Drosophila melanogaster: one gene and its partner. The protein of the gene in region 1 interacts with the protein of each later gene in a biochemical or structural test. Each region holds a gene or a part of one and is shown on either strand. Other genes may lie near its edges.

Region 1 (4,588 bases):
AACCGAGCGAACAACTGTTCAATGGTGAATCCCAGGCGTTGGAACTCCTCTGGCGGGTAGATGATCACCATGCACAACAGAATATAAAACAGATTGAATAGCAGCTCCGACTCGTCCATGTTGCGAATAATTTCGGATTTTGTTTGGCTCAGTGGTTTCGTCGAACACTAGAGGTGTCCAACAAATTCCCGATTATTGTTCTTAAGATATCGATATTATGAATGGTACGCGATAGCACGGGACCAATATCGTACCGCGCCCGCCATAGCAAATGAGAATTTAAATAAAAACAAGGTGCGAGACATTTTTAATTGTCAGCAGTTTGAAGATCGACTATTCTGCGTGCCACGGGCACGGGGCATTAGAGCAAATGTGGAGTAATACTGTTTGCTGTTTCGAACAACAAAAATAAAACAATTAAAATCAAAAATTTGCAGTTATACGGAAAAGGCAATGGACATGTCATCCGAGGAGAAAGGTAAGTGTACATTTTGGAACGGACAACAGTGTATTAATTTAGTAACTAAACGAAACTAACCTGTGCACATAAATAAAATAGTACAAAAATTACATACAAAATGCATTCGTTCATTTGAAAAACCTAAAGTTTTTTCACCGAGAAAAAACAGTCGCCTTAAACTCTTGAACTTACAGCCCTGAAAAAGGCTTTGACTTAAGCGGTCATGTGGTATATTATCAGTATGAACGTCGAGAAAAACAGACAATGTTTTCAAAAATATTTTATTTGTATTTAGCCATTATATCGTACTTGTGAAATATTTTAGGCAACAATCAATTAATAACGAAAAATGTCATAAGATCGCAGTTTGTCCCAAGACAAAACTGTCACAGAAACCCATTATGCGTTTAAGGAAATTTATACTAGAAAATGAAGGAGTATTTCGTAAGTATACAAAATTTGTTAAATTTTGGTATTGGGTTATGGCTTTCTTGAAACGGAAATATTTGATATTGCCGTACTTGTCATGTACTGTCACGATTACAGACGTGATATGAACAAATCGTGCACTGAATCTTAGATTCTAGTTGGACCTCATGCATAACATAAGAAGGTCCACACCCAGCTGCCAAATGAATACATCTGGGTTGCATAAGTTATCGAACGGAATGTCATCTCCGCCGATGGTCGGTGCTTTTATCTATTGCTGCAGCTCACTCAAGTCTGGAATGTTGCAAGCGTAATCGTCGTTTGAGGTGGAGCTGGAGTCGTTGGTTAGCTCAAAGCTGTTATCACCACTGGTGCCAGTAACCGTTGTCAGGCTGGAGTCATTGTTTGAGCTCTGCTGCTCTGAGTTACTCAGATTTGGCAAGAAGGCATCTGGGTACTCTTCCTCTCCATCCTCCTCACCATCGTTATCATCGTCATCATCTTTGCTCAAGCTGCTGGAGCTGCTTCTGCTCTCAGGACGCAAGGTCTCCCTGCTGCCTTTACTTATATTCAAGGCGCTTATCATTGGCAAGTTGTTTGAGCTCGCCGTTGATGTGGTAGCCGTTGAAGCTTTCGCTGGAGCGTGATTTGGTCGAGAGTTTACATCTCCAGAATTATCAATTAAAAGAGTGATTCGCGGAATGTTAGGCGGATCCGTTGAGCTAGTTCTGTTGCTTGGGTTGTCCGACACAGTTGCCCGCAAATCACCAGAGTTCGAAATGAGTATAGACAGATCGGGGATGTTCATCGGTCGTGGCTGCAGCACTGGCTCCTGAATTTGTTCGCTGGGATTGAGAATTGTCAGATTGGGCACATTCGGGATGGTCGTCGACGTAGTTCCGGTGCCTGTCAATGTTGCAAAGTTGGAGTTAGTAGTACTCCTTTGCTGTCGTCGAGGTGGCGCTATGGGAGGGGTGTTTCCTGACGGCTGGGGCACACTCTTGTCCCGCCTCACAATGTCTTTTTCAAAGTTGTCCAGGTTCAGGCCAACGCTACCTTGAGCGTCTGCCCCAAGAGTGGCAGTGCTTGACTGGTATTTGAGGCTCAGCCCCTCGTTGTCCACTTCCATTTCCTCTTCCAGCAGCTCAAGGCTTATGAGCGCACCGGGACCGTCAACAGGCCGGGCAGGGGTGGACTCTAGAGAAGTCAGTGGATACACTTTTTTTAGTTTTGTCAGTTTAAGGCAAACATAGTCATACTTGCCATTTAGGAAGTCTAGTGCCACAAAGTCTGCCGCACTGAAGAGCTCTGCCTGCACCAGAAGTTGGAGCAATACCCCAACCGTGGGCCGCTCGTTGAGCTTGCCAGAGGTCTTCCACTCGTCGATCATCATCTGCGACTTGCTTTGGTCCGGCGGTAGTCGGTTTGCAGCCTCGTCAATCTGGAACACGTCCTGCGCAGTGTACTTAAATCCCTTTTTGATTTCCGCCGGAAAATTCAAGCATCCGGCTCCGCTGCAGGCCTGCACATCCATGCCCTTGGGTATGATCGACATCAATTTGCGCCAGCATGAGTTCTCATCTAGTATTTTGGCAAGCCGGTAAATGTCATTGTCCTCAACGCGTCGCAGCTCCGTGTTGCGAGAATACTTCGAGGATAAACCTATGGCGCCGTTGCTTCCGTTCACCTGCACGCCCATTCCGCATCCGTTCCAGCCATACGCCATGGTGTTCCCTTAGCTACCCAGGATAACCTTACGGGAAAGCCTTTGCCTGTGGCAGGTCGATGGTTCAAGTTCCCAGATGTCCAGTGCGATTGTATGAGATTTCCGCTATAAAACCATGTTTGCATCTATCTTCTCTCTCTATGTTTTTGCCAATGCCCACAGCTACTGCTCGCTGCTCGCAGTATTTCAGTGTGACCGAGGAGGACCGCAGCACCATATTAGATTCGTCATGTAATATTAGGGGGATTCCCGAAGCCGATTGGTATTGTGTGGTATTTCCGTATGCGGAAAATAGCTAGCCATTTGCAATACTGCACTAATTTTTAACGCAAAGTAAGAAAAAACCAAACTTTTTTTTTCATTAATGACATATTCCGGCGTTGTGAGCAATAAATGTAACCCCACCGATAGATGGCTTTCGTTTGTAATTGTAGAAGAATACCGGGTACCTGGTAGAAAGGAAATTCGAATAGACATTTACGTATACATATATATAAGTATTAAATATTCTTAATCAGTAAAAACAGACAAGTCGATATAGCCATGTCCGCCCGTTTTACGCGGGCGATGAAATAGCAGCAAAATAAATAATCGAAAAACCAAAAATAAACACTTAGTTCTTAGTTCTTTTTGATATTTTTGGACAATAATTAATTTTGATTTGTGATAGTTTCTGAGATCTCGACGTCCATAGGGACGGACATGGCCAGATCGATCCTGATCAAGACCTCTTCTACCTGCTACATATTTTTTAACTAGTCTGGTATACCCTTTTACTTCACGAGTATCGGGTATAAAATGCAGGAGTAGTATTACCAGGTGAACAAAAAGGGACATAAATATGGCCAACCGGGGCACACGTTCATAATTAATTCATAATTCATTATTCCAAGTAAAAAAATAGGGATATTGTTATTTTTAGTTCAGCAACATACTGGACCATATAATGGTATTCATATTTATTTTGTTGATAAAATTTTAGAAATTATTTTTTGATAAAAGTCTATAAAATGGACGGAATTGCATTTGTATCAATTAAGGGGCTTGCAAGAGAGCACGGATGGAATGTAGTTCTTTTTATAACTTCACTTACTCAAATATAAGGTCACTTCTTAGTATATGTATGTTCTTACTGCCTAAAGTTATGGATCTTAATTTGTGCTGCATTCATTGGCTTGTGTAAAGAAAGGTGCTAATGAGTAGCAATGTGCTTAAGATAAGAGCCGTATTGATATTGTGGCCATGTCGGGTATTTGCGCCGTTGCGCGTGGTCTTGCCCATCTGGAAGTGTAAAGTTGGACTGGACATGCGACCGTCTCCTCCATTGCTGTATGCGAGGACTCGCATGTTGTAACTCTTCCCTGGCGTCAGATTGTTGATGTACGACTCCAGTTTCTGTCCGATTGGCACTATGGTATTGTTGGCCGTAATCATGTTCTGGTCCGATTCCCAAATGCGAACCTAGAAAGTTTCAAACTGTAATCGATTTTCTTGGTCACGGTGCCGGGAGTTGTACCTTATAACCCTCTACTGGTTCCTCGTCTTGCGAAGGTGAAACATATCTCCAAACAACCCGCACGGTAGACGGGTTTATTCCATACACGTGAACCGAAGATGGCGGCTTTTGCGGGGCCTTTCTATATGTTCGTTCTAAAAAGCATGGTGTTTAAGCATTTTCTTTAAATGGTTTTTTAAACTGTTCGTTACACACCTTCAAAGCGTTCGCTTTCAGGTCCTTCACCTGCAGCATTGTAAGCCATGACTTTAACAAAGTAGTAAGTATCTGGTTGTAGACCTACGATAAGCGCCCAATTCCTTGTAGTACGTGACAGGTAGTATACCGAGTCTTCTTCCTGGTGCGTCGTTTTCCAATACTTCAACTGGTGAAAGATAAGGGTTTTTGACAATGCAATGGAATTAAGTGCAGTAACCATACCCTGTGGCCAATGAGTTTGCCACGAATGTTTTCACGG
Region 2 (8,268 bases), on another chromosome or scaffold:
TAAAAACCAAAACACATTGAGCAGAGAAGCAACCAAACAAAACCCAAAAACATAAATTCAATTAAAAGTAACGAAACGAAACAAAACAAAACAAGACAAAAAAAAAAAAACAAAGTTTAAAGAACAAGCTCAAGTCGCAAGGAGCAGTAAGGCTAAAAAAAAAACATATTTGTTCACAGTGTAAATTGTAACACACAGAGAGCGAAATTAACGCAGGTTGCGATAAAGTGAGGAATGTGAGCGAGGAGCTATTATTAAAACATTAAACGATTTAAACAATAAAAAAACGAAAATAAATAAAACAAAAAAAATACAAAAAATTTAAACCGATTCGAACTGTCTTGTAGATTAACCGGAACTGGTCGATAAACATTTCCACTCAATATGTACGCGAACAACTGTATGTAAATACATATACGGGGATTCACACATCAACTGCAATGTTTATTAAACATGAACGAACTAAAGGTTGTCTACATTCAACAATAAATTATTGAGCCAAACATTGAACAGTTTATTGCCGCTCAACTGGAGCTAGCTTATTTCCGATATGGATACAGTGCGTTTCATAACCATGACCGCCAAGTGCCACGTGTCGCGAAGGTCGAAGTTCGAGCGTTCGATGCCCGACATTGAGGAACATATGTATATTGCGTTTTATCCACATTCGTTGTCGCTTGACAAAAGTTGGACATAATATATGGTTGTCGATCGACTCTATATGGTTTTGAAACGCACTGTCCGGAGATACATATAATACTATATAGACTCTAGATACATTGAAAGAGACGATGTGATGATGGATGACGTATTGATAGTCTTTGCTTTATAACAAGTGAGTGTGCTTAGGTGCACATCAGGCATATGGGCACGCATTCACAGCAATCAGTAACAATCGGTAACAGCTAGGCTAGAGCTAATCACATGAGGCAACCAGCCGATGGCGGTACCGAGAACAAACAGTTTACTTATTGCTAGCAATCGTCTAAAACGGCTTGAGCAGTTTACAAAATGATAAAGCACTGCTCGCACAATGCAGCCATATGTACGTATGCGTTATATATGCTCATTACTCATTCTCAGATGGGGTCTGAGTTGCGAGAACGGCGCGCGAGATAATTAAATTAAGTAAGTCACTTATCGAACGCGTGACTAACAGTTAATTGAGCACTTCGATTAGCAGTGTCGCGTATTTAACCTCACTCAACGCAATTGCCAATTTGTCTGTTTATCAAGTCCAGAGTCATATACATAGAGCATATAGCAATATCGTGTCGTATTTGGTAGTCTGTGTGCTTTTGTGATACATTTGTGCGGATATGTGGTATTGTCTTTATTCGTTGTTGTCTTATATAAGTTAACAAGTGCGTCTAAGTATATTAAGTTAGTTGACTTGATAAGGATTAGGCTAAAGATTATCACTAGGCATGGAGGGTGACGACATTGGTGACTGGGCGGCCACAACTAGACTGGGCACACGACAAGGAATCAAAGAATCGAGAAATCGAATGAATGGCTATCCTAACACTATGATCTCAGCCCGGCGTCTGCAGCTTGCTGCTGGATCGCGAGAATAGGGCCTTCTTCAGGATGTTCGGCTGCCACTTGATGAAGCTCTTCTTGCTCTCCGACGTGGTGGAGATGTTGGAGCTGCTGGCACTGAGTGTCCTCTCGCGTTCCGTGACATTTATGGTGCTGACGGAGTGGGCATGACGCAGAGTCTTGCCGCTGGCCCCATCGCTCCGCGCCGTCTTTCCAAAGCTGTGCGTGATTCTGCGCAGGAAGCGATCCTTTTTCTTCGGCTTGTGCTCCGGCAGGGGTGAGCCGGTGTCACCGGAAACCGAAACGATTGTGGTCTCCGCCTCCGGCACTTTGCAGCTGTTGTAGTTTGGCATATCAGTGACATCCTTGTCGTTGATCTGAATCCGAATGCTGGGAGTGGTCACCCGGGGAGCCGATTCCTCCACCGGCGAGGGACTGCATAAAGAAATTTTAGAGAATGCCAAATTTATGATATGAGTGATAAAATTCCAACATGTTTTACAATTAACAGCAAAACTAATTTCGCTTCAATATAATCTTACGCCCAGATATATAATACATTTATTTCCTGTTTATAAATTTGTTTCAAATTTGATTACTCATATGCAGTGTATTACTTCCTGGGCACTTTAAAAGTCGTATGAGTTCATCTTTCTGAAACAAACGTATCTTCTTTGAATTTAGCAAAACTAAATAAAAATACCTGCTAGGCTGTTCTAAGGTTGATCGCTCGTACGCCATGTGATATTTGCTTATATATTTTGTTTACAAGCAGTTGGTATACATTTGCACATTTTATGTGAATGTTGTGAAACGATTTCGCAGCCCCTACAACCAGCAGTAGCAATAATTGAACAGTAAAATCAAAAACTTAAGCTAATAAAATGTATTCTAAAACAGCTTCTTAAATTGGGATGACTAGACTACTTCATGTATTCGTATTCAGTTTGCAAACCTCATTTATCTGTTGGCTAGCAATCTACATTATCTTGAGATTTTATACCCCTAAAAATGTATCAAGTATTTTTGGAACACATACATATACATATATCGCAGGAAGTAGCAACACTTACGTCTGCACCTGGCGCGTGGAGTAGATCGAAAAGGCATCCAGATCGTGTAGGGAACGAGCCAACTTGTCCCAGAAGTTGAACAACTTGGAGTCCCCGGCGTACTTGATGTGCGTGTAAATGCCCAGGGTCTGGGGTATGTGCATGTCCGTTTTGTACAGAATCGGTATGATCTTGCGAGTGTGATTCTCTGGGGAAAGTCAGATCGTTGAACTTGTAATGCGACTCTGGCTCTGCGATACAAATGCGTATCAGCTACTCACCAATCTGGATCTTTTGGGTGAAGTTCACGAGGTACGTGTTCTCCGGACTCCGAAGAAACTCCTCTGTGAGCACGACGATCAGGTGATTGCAGCGGGTGGCCATGAAATGGGATAGCTGGACATGCTCGAACGGAACGCCCATTAGCATGTCGCGGTGGCGCAGGAATAGCTGCAATAGAACGATCCCATGGTTATTTAATACAACACACAGCAACCGAGCGCATCCCACTCACCCTGAGATTGTATCGCTCAGACTCTAGATTATTCATGATCTCGGTGGCATGATCGATGTCTGCCTCCGCGTACAGAACACATGCGTTGTATCTGGGCAGCGGTTGGCCCATCTGTACACATCTCTGGTCCTCGTCGCTGAGGATCTGCACACTTTGGCCCACTGTGATGTTGTTGCTGCTGCTGTAGTTGTTGTTGGTCTCGAAGCAGTCGCTGGGGGGCGGCGGACACGCCTCCACGAGAGCAGTCTGTCGCTGCTCCTGTTTCATGATGAAGCGCTGGGTGTCCTTGGCTTTTGAGGAGAGCAAAATTAAAACAGTTTTACTAAAGGGATTATGATTGCTAAAAACTACAAGGCCGCACAAAAAGTTTTCTTAACACATCATTCGTAAAGTAAACAACACAATTTATACATGTTAATGTCAAAATCAAATTACTTAAATTATGTTTATTAAATAATAAATATAACCCTTTGTTGATATATAATGAGCTTAAAGGAATGGCATAGTGAAGTTTATCTGAGTTTCTGCACACAGTCGCTAATATATGAAGCTTTCATAACAAATTGGTAGTATTTATGATTTGTAACTCAATATTATGTATGAATAGATAAGTGTATGCATATATCCATTCAGATGTCTGCCATTGTCTCCCCATCTTTTTATTCCAAATATATTGTCAGCAGAAAAGATCATTCTAGTAAGAGGTAGTGAATTCTAGATTCAAGCAGTTATCATCAACGACACATTTATAAAAAATTTACTTTTTTAGTTATTTTTAGTTTTATTGGAATATTTCTAAAACACCCAATGAAAGATCATTAGAAAAGGAATTCAAACATTTCCTTTGAAAAATTCCTAATACGATTTTAATTATGTGTGCTTTTTTATACCTTAAGCATTCAACTTCCGAGTGCGTTCATTTGTTTTTAAATCGAACCATTTTGGTCACAACGAATATATCTATACAACATCTGCTCCTAAACAAAATTGACTGTTCGAGGTTTTTTATTAATGACAACAGTTTTTGCTGGGTGAATCCCCATTGTGCAAATAAATAAGAAAATTTCGTTCTTAACTGATTGGCATTTTCTATAGTTTAAGTTCTGTTGTTTGCGGCTTTTAGAAATTATTGTTTTGAATTTTTTCTTTATGGCTGTGTGTTTTTCAATTTGTCGGGATGTGGTAATAAAAATCTTGTAAGTCGAAGCGTTTTATTTGACAATAAATAGAAATAAACACAAATTAATCATGGGAAAGTGGGTGACTTTTATTTCTGTCATTACGTATCTACTCATCATAACTCAATAGTTTTATGTATCCGACGATAAGCTTTGTTTGACTTAGATAAATGTGCGATAGATAAGTTAAATATGTACGCTTTCTGCATATACTCCCTATATTATATAGATTACCACGTCCATTTTTATAAACTCGAAACGGCTTTTCCGGTCATAAAACCAAAAATGGATCAGCCAAAAATAATTGATAAGTGTGGCTCGCCATTAAAGTAAAATTTAATGGTTCATTTTCCGATTTCCAACATTTGTGTACATATCATTTGATAAGTACATTATTTAAAATTCCTCTTCAACTTCGCAAACTCGAGAACAGTCAAACATACATAGTTAGTCTAGACGTTTAACTAAATTTTCACTGTCACGATGGCATTTTGAAGTAAAAGTCGAATCGTCAGACCATCATTTAAAAGCTAATCTAAAACAAATGATACTCAAAACTCAAGTGACATAGTTTAGTTATAGATAGATAGCGACTACCATAAGTAAAAAATAGTTAATGCCTACCCAGATTCTCCTGGATATCGTCGCAGACGTCCCACCGATCGATAATGCCCAGGAAGTGTTCCAGATGGCCCACCTTGGCGGTCTGGGGACTCCGCTGGCTCCAGCTGATCAGCACCAGATCCATGGGATTGTTGGCGTTCTCGTCGACGAATCCCTTCTGCTTGGCCAGCTCCGAGATGCCGCGCCAGTCCCGCTGGTAGCCCTCCTCGGATCGCAGCACCTTCTTGCGGTTCAGCATGCGGGACAGCTGGGTGCGGGTCTCGATGCCCAGTGCGGATAATGGGGTCTCGTTGAAGTGCCCCAAGCCCGTTCCCGTGCCCGATCCCGACCCGGAGTCCATAACTCCCTCGGCCACCACCATGCCAGCGGTGCGATAACGCCGATAACTGACGTCAGTGGCGCCGTAAATGTGATGGTGATGGGGCGGATTGGGATGGCGGTGGGTATGGTGATGGAAGTGGGAGTGGGGCTGGTAGTGGGAATGGGCCACCGAGTGCTGCTGATGGCATACAAATCGAGGGCGCATTCGCACTTGGCGCTGGCTTTATTGGAATAATTGGTGTTTGTTTGCTGGCGTATTTGTTTTAGTGTGGATGCGATGTGATGCGATATATATTTATCAACTGACGTTTATCAGTCGAGAGGGCGGCGAGCAATAAAACGATGAAGCGCGTGAGTTGTGCTGCTCTGTAGATTTTTTCGAGTTTTCCGATCGCGCGTGCTTGTTTTTTTTTTGTTTTTTGCGGGCGGATGAAGCTGAAACTGGTTAGAAGGGGGTGGTGCTTTACTGCTAAACTTCTATACTTCAGTGCGGTGCGAAATGGACCGAGTGACCTCCAGCACCTTGCCGCGTCACAGTCGCGTTGTTGTTGCTGTCTCGGATTCTGTTTTTATTTATCTGTCTGCTCCGCTGCGAGAGGAGATGGAGATCTTCGCCTTCGTTTTCGTCGCGTTTTTTATTCGTCTGGCGTATGATTTTTTGAATATTGTTTAAATATACACAACACACACACTCACAATCAGTGGCGCACGCACACAGTGTCGCCCTAAGCACAGAAATAAATTCGTTTCGCTTTTTTCGAGTGCGTCCGCTCCGGTTTGTTGTTTTGTTTCGACTGGTTCTGTCCGCCGTTTGTGCTTTTGTTTCTGCCTCGTTGTCCGCTCCTCCTCCGCCTCCTCCCCAACGGACTACTCTTCGCGCTCACTCTCCCGCGCTCTTTCTCCACCGCCTTTCACTCGCTTGTTTATTTTGGTTTCGTTCCGATGCAGGGCGAAAGCGCGGGGGCCACAGGCGGAACTATCAGCTCAGCTGCTTTTTCTAGTCGGCTGACAACACTCTGTTTGCACTGGCTAATTGCTAATTAATTTATCTGCGCTGCGTTCCCACTTTTCAGATCAGATCGCGATTCCGATAAGCTCGTGGCGATCGATGGGCAAAAGCTTGGCGAGTCACAGCTTTTCGGGTGGCCAGTCATCGGCGAGGTTTGGTACTTTATCGGGGCCAGTTATCGGTTGCGGTATTTTTGGTGCGCGGGCCACACTTTAATAGGTTCCAAAAGCATTCACCAGATGGCGCTCTAAGAGTGGTTGACTTAATTTCCGGTTGGTTAAATATAATTTAGGAACGTTGGTTCTTGCCGTAGGATTCCTAATTATTCATAAGCATAATTGATAATGATTTCTTGCTAGTGCAAAAGCAAGAAGAGTAGTAAAGTGAGTAAAAACGCACTCTCCTATTCGACCGGCTGATGTAGGCAATCTAACTCCTTTCAGTTATGCAGAGAATGGTACCTTTAATGGTGCCTCAAAAAGGAATATTTTACATTTCGACCTGTCCAAGACATACTTACTCATTTTACCGAGAAATATTGCTTCCCCGAAATCAACTGATTTGAGACGATAATGTGGGGAAATGAACATGCCAACCAAGGACCACACTCTCGTAAATAATAGTCAGAGAGCACTTGTAAATTCAGTTTATTTTCATTTGATTTTGTTTGTTCTTTGTGTGGTTGATGCCTGCACCTCAACGCTTTTCATTTTCAGTTACAAATACTGAGATATACTTACTACACAGGTGACACAAATTGATTTATCGCTTTTATGGCTTTGTTTGACTTTTTCTTTCGATTCAACATTTCTTGCTTTGCTTGATGAATAAAACGCTGAAGGCGTTCAAATGTATTTTAAATATATTTGTTTTGCTTTTTCATGGTTTATTTTTGTAGTTTTCGTTTTTCGGTCGGCGTTGCGTTTTGCATTGCCAGCAACAATTAACAGTAAAAGTTGATGCCTTGCACACAAGTTGAAGTTGAAGTTACCTGCTTTTGTTTGAATTCCGTTGTTAATTTATTTAATGTTGATTTACTCGGATAAGCCCCATCATTAGTTATTAATGTACCTACTTGGTATTTACTCATTTGGTTTGTTTGTGGCTCTATTTACAATACATCTGCCTGTGTGTGGTGTGGTTTGTGTGTCTTTCTTTGTATTTCGTTCATTTTTCACTTGTAAATAATTGCTCAAACTGGATTGGGCACCAAAAGTCTCTCGTTCAAAGGCTAAAAAGTTTGATTTTTTTCTCGAGAAATAATTTCGTTATTCATTAATTTATGCTTGCTGCGTGTTTGTGTTTAACCTGTGTCATTATTCAATATTCATTGGTATTTCGCCCTAGAACGTTTCGAGTATTTCAATTACATCAATTTACTTGCTTCGATTGTAGTTGTTTGTATAATAATTCAGCTTACATTTTTACACTTAGCTAGCCATAAATATAGACATTAGTTGTGTTCTTTTAATTAGGTCTCCCCTACCTCCTTCATTCAGTTAATCTCCTTTTTACTTTCGTTAGTTTAAGCATGCAGTTAAATCAATTTTGCAAACCTAGTGGATATGCTCTGCCCCATGTGTTAAATGCAATTACTAAGTATATTGTTGTTTGATTGTATATACTAAATATCCTTTGTGACTGCCTGGCGACAAATTTGATTATTTTAGCCTCTGTTTTAGCCTGTGTGTATTTGTGGTCAAATTCGAATGGCTTTCTGGGCCAAAATGCGTATCTTACAAATCTGAATGAGGTGTGTGATTCTTTGTCCCAGATGTACTTGCATTGCATTTAACAACGACCCGCTCTAAGTAGATTAAATGTTTAAGTTTACAATTTATTGAGCTAATTTAAAGCTTTCCATTTGTTTTCGCCCTGCCCGCCATTGAAATTCCGCTTCCCTGCTCGCCAAATGGCTTAAAAACAAATAAATTCGTATACAGAGAAAACTAATTGTAAGGAAAAGCTGAAACTGTCCAACTATAAAATCACGTAATTTACCTGAAACATGTGCTCTTAAATCAGATA

Evidence for each region. Proteins that work in one complex are often made in the same cells at the same time.
Region 2: the proteins of tub (region 1) and Myd88 form a complex in vitro, tested with the Drosophila melanogaster proteins (one study listed by BioGRID).

What each region holds. Positions count from the first base shown.
Region 1 is NT_033777.3:4,385,957-4,390,544, reverse strand, and holds tub (tube), read right to left. Parts: upstream 2,804-4,588; 5' UTR 2,616-2,803; coding exon 2,153-2,615; intron 2,087-2,152; coding exon 1,161-2,086; 3' UTR 732-1,160; downstream 1-731. Other genes in the region: CG14646 (uncharacterized protein), read right to left, coding at 1-119; Cont (contactin), read right to left, coding at 3,783-4,076, 4,132-4,265, 4,327-4,495, 4,552-4,588. UniProt on the Drosophila melanogaster protein: Plays an essential role in the Tl receptor signaling pathway that establishes embryonic dorsoventral polarity; the signal directs import of dl into ventral and ventrolateral nuclei, thereby establishing dorsoventral polarity.
Region 2 is NT_033778.4:9,302,359-9,310,626, forward strand, and holds Myd88 (Myd88), read right to left. Parts: upstream 6,365-8,268; 5' UTR 5,437-6,364; coding exon 4,911-5,436; intron 3,399-4,910; coding exon 3,109-3,398; intron 3,045-3,108; coding exon 2,876-3,044; intron 2,803-2,875; coding exon 2,616-2,802; intron 1,978-2,615; coding exon 1,536-1,977; 3' UTR 465-1,535; downstream 1-464.